2 linked regions of the Saccharomyces cerevisiae S288C genome follow. The protein of the gene in region 1 purifies or fractionates together with the protein of each later gene. This does not show direct contact. Each region holds a gene or a part of one and is shown on either strand. Other genes may lie near its edges. The genes, in order: NRS1 and YLR257W.

The links.
Region 2: the proteins of NRS1 (region 1) and YLR257W purify together in Saccharomyces cerevisiae (affinity purification with mass spectrometry, with the first as the bait; one study listed by BioGRID). This does not show direct contact.

The regions. Positions count from the first base shown.
Region 1 is NC_001144.5:247,543-250,711, reverse strand, and holds NRS1 (Nrs1p), read left to right. Parts: upstream 1-2,285; coding exon 2,286-2,612; downstream 2,613-3,169. Other genes in the region: OSW2 (Osw2p), read left to right, coding at 1-1,995; IES3 (Ies3p), read right to left, coding at 2,759-3,169.
Region 2 is NC_001144.5:657,082-660,498, forward strand, and holds YLR257W (uncharacterized protein), read left to right. Parts: upstream 1-1,744; coding exon 1,745-2,710; downstream 2,711-3,417.

The sequences.
Region 1 (3,169 bases):
CTCACTAAGGATATTAAAGAGCTGCACCACAAATTAAAACATAACGGTGCAAATACGTATTCAATTGACATTGTGTTAGTGTCTGCAATTTCCTTACAGTCTTTCGAAACAACTTGTCGATTGTTGTCAGATTACACGAACGACAATACGACTGTGCTTATTAGCACTGATTTTGGTTGCGAACTGGAGCCCATAGCCATAAGTTATTTTGGAGGGAAGTGCAAGTGTGTTATTTCCATTTCGTGTGAGGTTGAATGCAGACAGTTATCGCTTGGATCATATGCATTGGTCAACGACGATCAATGTGTAATAACTTTGGGATTAACTTATTGTGATGCTAATTTTGAAGCAAGTCCAACCATTCTGGAAAACACGAAAGCAGCTTCGTTAGAATTGCAAGGGATTAAGGGTTCAAATGTTCGCAGGTTCCTTCTTGGATTGACCGTTGCGAAATGGATGAAATCTAAATTAATTTTGGACCCAAAACAAATGGCATTGAAAATGTGGGAATTGCTTATTCCTAAAATCTCACTTAACATCCTTTCTATCATCTATGAACAATTTGATTATGAGAAAATGTTAGAAAACAAATCCACAGAAATTATTTTTAAAGATCTGGTGAAAGAGTTACTTGGAATTTGCTTTGCACAATGTGGAAGCAAAATTGCAAGGTTTTTGCTAGTAAAATCACAAGGTGAAGAAGAGATTAATTTTGGGAAAATCGTAGAATATTGCAAAGGTAAAAAACTGCAACTTATCAACTCTACGGCAAACGAACATCCGGAATATTTATCCTTACCGTTTGAGCCTTATTGTTTCTACCACCGATTTGAATATCCTGCTCAAATTCTTTTGCATCAGCCCATCATTTTGGCCAAAAAGTATGGTGTTTCGTGTTCAAATTTAAATTTCCTATATGGATTCTATACGAGGTTACTGACACTAAGTGGGCTATCAATAAATGGTGGAAGGTGTGAGCATGCCTTGTCGATGTTGGACAGCAGGATTGGTGGTGGTATTAACGTTGCTTCAGGAATTAATAGCGGCCAAGATTTTACCGATGGTGATAACGAGGATCAAGATAAAGGCAAAAACAGAGTGGACAAAAATGTAAAGGAAGGTTCTTTCATTAGTTTAACACAACGATTCACGATGACAAGTCCACTGGGTGTCAATGATCCAGCTTTACCAGCGGACTTAGAAAAGTTGTATTTAGGTGCAGAATACATTAGCAATTGCGACGCAAATACATCTGGTGGTCAAAAACGAGTAAAATCTCCAACTAAAGCAGATACAGGCTACGATGATAAACACTTGCCTGATGATACGATACATACATTTGAAGATGAATATTTGGCCGATGAAGACGACTTTTCTTGCCTTGGAATTGACAAAAGAAGCTCAACAAAGCCCACAAAGCCTCTAGAAAAATTTGGAGTGGTTGCTGTGCCACACTTCATCAGGAGGTTTTCTATTAAAAGGTCGAGTAAGGATAAATCAAATGATATGAAAAGACCATATACTACAAGCAGCTTGGAGTTGCAATTAAGGTCAAATCACTTTATGTTCGCCAAAGAATACCAAGACTTACATAGACAATTATATTACGAAGTTAAACCAAGGACGCAATCAGAATTGGACGCAAGACGTCGAAACTATTCTGAATTAGAATCTCAGATGTGGAAAATTAAACATCGGTTCAATATTCATAGAGGAGCACTGCCTCGTCCACGAACGAATCCGTATGAGCTATTACTGGACCACATTGATGTTTTGAACCGTGGCAACACTGGGGATATTTTGAGATTTACCACTAGTAGATACGGTGGTGTAGATACGTATGATTCCATCTTGAGGGACCAATCCACGATCATGGAACTTTTAGATAAACGGTGTGCCTATTCACCTCCAGTACTGTTCGATAATGAGGCTAAAGAACGTGATCATGATCGCGATTGTTATCAAGATTACAATCACGACCACCGGAGTCATTAATATTAAAAAAAAAAAATGTGATTGTTAATAAGGGGTGGGATGCGCGAAATTCTATGCCTACAGTAGAAAGCGGTTGTTGCACAAATGATTAAATCTTTATCTCCAACTCACAATACTATCGCGATAGATGCATAATATGTGCAGCTTCTAAACAGCACGGAGTGATGATAAATACGCATATATGTATATATATATGTATGTGCATATGCACGTCCTTTTAAAACTCAAAATACAACATTCTTAGTAAATCCTTTTGTTGACACACGTCGGAACAACTCAGGACGGAGTTAATGGATATGCTTCATAATAAATGTAGTGATGCTATCAAAAGCACCTCCAATAGCAATTTGAGTAATGAGGTAGACAAACAAAAATTGCAATACGATGACCTCGGGAACACCGGATTTTCTGAACTATTTGAGATGGAATCTCAAGATAATAATGATAGCATAGAGGATTTCTTGTTCTTTAATATAAATTTAACCCAGGAGGTTGAGTTCGAGAACCAAAGACAATATGAGCACACGAAAAAGACAAAGAAGCATAACCCATTCTATGTACCGTCAGAGGTAGTGCGAGAGATGGTCAAGAAACACGCATTGAATGGCAGAATATAGTTAAGCCCGATAACACATTCTATTTTTCATGTTTTAATAACGTTTCATATATGAATTTTTCTCAAATATACGATATATACCTAAATGAATATGCATATGGAAGTGAAGTTGGGGATTTTGCAAACTTGTCTTATGTTAATCTTGGCTTAAAGAATGTTTTCCAAAAGGCCGTTCTTATTAATTTTTCTTCTCTTGGTTCTGTTAAATGCTAGTGAATTCGCATTGACGTTCGTTGGTATGGCTACTGCTCCGAATGCGATTGGATGGCTTGCCTTCCTGCCACGATTACTGAACAAATCGAGTTCTACATTTGCATCCAACAGTAGTTCTTTCAATATAAACCACTTTCTTTCTTTCTGTGAAAGTTTTTGGTACTCTTCAAGCAAGTTCTCTTGGATTTTGGTCAGTATATCAATTTTTTCATCATCTGATAAGTCAGGGTCCTCAGTTTCTTGGTCCTGCTCCGCTGCATTTAATGTTACAATTTGGTCATTGACAGCTTGTAAAAAGTTGTCATTCATAGCGTAAAGATTGTCCTTGTACAACCTTGTCTTGAG
Region 2 (3,417 bases), 410 kb from region 1:
TACATATGAAACAACCTTATAGCAAAACGAACAGAATGAGCAACATGAGATGAAACTCCGCCTCCTTAACTGAACTTTCCAAACGTATAAACGCCTGAAAAATTAGTTTAGATCCGAGATTCCGCGCTTCCACCATCAAGTATGATCCATATTTTATATAATATATAAGATAAGTAACATTCCGTAAGCTGATAATCCCTTTTGGCAACTCGTTACTTCCCAAAGACTGTTTATATTAGGATTGTCAAGGGACCCCGGTATTGCTCGAGCCCGTAATACAACAGTTGTCTTTCACTGCTCTCTATGTTTTGAGACCTCCAGTTCACCACATATATTCGATCTTTTTCTTACTGTTGAAGCAAGAATCTGTTGGAATGAAGGCCTAGTATTGTCTATTGACTAATATTCATCTTACTAGTATATTATCATATACAGTGTAAGAAGATGGCATAAAGATTGAGAACCAGTCATCAGACTAATGAAAGCTGAAATGCAAGGACTGATAATGTAATGGGATAATGAAATATATAAAACGGAAGGAGAAATAACCGTGATATTATTATGTAGATTTACCGACTCCACTTGGAGGATTTCTCTATTCTCGAGGGAAACTTGGTATATTCGTACACCTAATATTATAGCTCTTGATAACAATGAAATTTCAACAATTATTCACTCAACCCTCAAGTGTATATCGCCAAGATCCTAATCACCCCTCTCTGGTGGCCTTCCCTCATTGTTTTTACACAGAACAAGAATCCATAAAATCAAGATATTGGGAACAATTCATTGTCTTAGGAACAAGTTTTTATAATTTAGTTTCATTAGCCTATTGTAACTTCTTGTTTTTTTTTTTTATTTTGGCTGGCAAAACAAGAAGTATAAAGAAGTTACCACTGCTATAACGTATATCTTAAATCAAGTGGGCAATTCTTCGAATAAACTTAGAGGCGCTGAAGAAAGAACCGCTCAATTAGTTCGATCATACAAAATACAGATATTGCGCTGTGTATTATCATTACGGAAAGTGTGATATAAACAATGCTGTGTTGTATTCGGTCTTTTTTTTCCGCCTGGAGATTGTCGTTTTTGTTTTTTTTTCTCGTGTAGCTGCAGTTATCATCGTTTTGCATGTCTGTTCTGTCGGTGAAGCCGATCTCATGGCACTTCGCTTTGATACCGTAAAGAATCTTCTTCATTAATACGGCACTGCAAGGCGATATCTATCTCTGGGGTTAGGACTGATAAATAGGTACTTATCAGTTATCACTAGAGACGAACTGTTTACGTTTTGAAGCTCGACAGCAGGGGTTCTTAACGGGCGTCGGCCTAGACCTCACCTTGCGAGAAATTTTTAGTTCATATCCAGGGGATGGTGAATGGTTGGATCTGACGAAGCCACGGTAAGGGCAAGGCTTTGCGCATGCACTGGCCACTATGCATACCATATATAAATAGATAATCAAGCGTATAGAAAACGACATGCTAAGTTATTTTACTCAGTGTTAGGTCTCTTAGTATTTGCGTCTGAAAAGATCTTAGCTCTGTCTTTGACTCTATCACTTATTTTTAAGAGGTTCTCTATTCGTCAGTGATAGAAATAGCATTTTGACCCGCACGACATTGGTTAATAAGAGTACTTTTCCACGTGTTTCGATTGCCTTTATTTTTAGCATACTTGAAAATAATATTATCGTGAGATTTAGGTAAAATATACCACATATCAAGAGAAAGAGAAGTAAGAATGGTTGACGCTAGGGGTAGTACGCCATGTTTAATTGGTGATTCTATAAGAAACGTTAATGATGGAAATAGTCTGGATTTCCAGTATACTAATCAGTTTAATGAGGAAAGTGAGGCTTCGAGGTTACTAACGCCACAAACGAGTTCCAATCACGCCCTAAGCAAGATGCAGAAGGATGATGATATTCGAGATAGATCTTATACATCTGTAGCGGAATTGAATCGTGAGGGTGCTTTGCTGACCGACGAAGTTGATTTGGAGAATGTTGATGCTTCGAAAGTTCGCAGCAATAGAGACGACCTAGAGGCAGAGGAGAAAAGGAAAAAACTACTCTTGTTGAAAAAAAAGCAAAGAAATAAATCCATCAACTCGGAAAGTTTTTCCTCTCCTTCTCTGCGTGCTTCCAAATCTAATTCACTGATTACATCAACTGATCCTGTCGAAGATCACATCAGTAAGTACTCTTCATCAGGCACCCCTGAAAATATTACAGGTGAGGCAGACGACGAAGACGAAGACATAATCAGAAACTCTTACGGGCAAATGATCAAAAACAATTCCAACAGGCCACATTTGGCGAAGGGTGAATCGTACCAGTCCGCAGAACAGGAAATAGATCATACGGCGCCTGAAAAATCAGAGAAAAGACAAGAAAGAAGCGGTAGATCCTTTGATAGACAAAAATCTTCGGCTGAGTTTCTAAGATCCTTATCGAGGTCAATAAGTCGTGGACCCACAAAGAACAAAACGGTTTCGCCCTCTAAGGGAGAAGACTCTAGAATGTATAGTACCAGCAACTACTCTATATCATTAGTTGATTTGGAGAACGGACCCAAAATTATCCCGGAAACTTTAGAAGAAGAGCAGGAGGACGCCGAAAAGGAGGGTGTTTTGATGGAAGACGAGGGTAATGAAGAATACACCAAAGATTTGGAAGAAGCAGCTAACAAAGCTCAACCACAGTAGAATGGAATATTGAAACTGGAGTGACTTCTGATGAAGTTTCCAATTATTTATATGTATACATTATTTATTTGTCTATCATTAAAATTTCTGTCAAGTAATGGCTTTTTATGTTTATTTCATGGATTACGAAATTTGCTGGCTTTTTAGAGTGACCGATGAGTTGCATGTACATATGTGCGAAATAAAACAATACGGTAGTAAAACATGAATACTTCGAGAAGTAAATTCAAGATTGCAGGCGTAGCACAAGAATGTCCTTCCGCCTGCTAGTGTGTTGAGCAAAGCACGCCATCACTAATGGAACCCTTACAAAATCTCGCATGGAGCAGCAAACCTTAAATCCATTTTCTATCATTCGTTCCTGAGGACCCGGATATCGTTTTAGAGACAAAAATAGATACTACAAGAGGAATAGGGATATCTGCACATGGGGCCTCGAGCATGGCTCATTTTCGATTTTCCGGCACGATGCTGACTTAGTACTATCATGCCAGGCAGGACAGGCCTTATGGGGTTCTTGCAGCTTACCAATTCTGACACTGGACTGCCCCTGGATTAGCGACCCCGCGACCCCGCGACCAGACTCCCTGAAAATGGTAATTGGTGATGATATATGTGACTGAGTTCAGCCTGGGCATACAATGTTTAACCCTTTTGGACATGGAATTAGGCCAGCAAAGGGAGCAGCTTTCCCCGAAAGCGTAGTT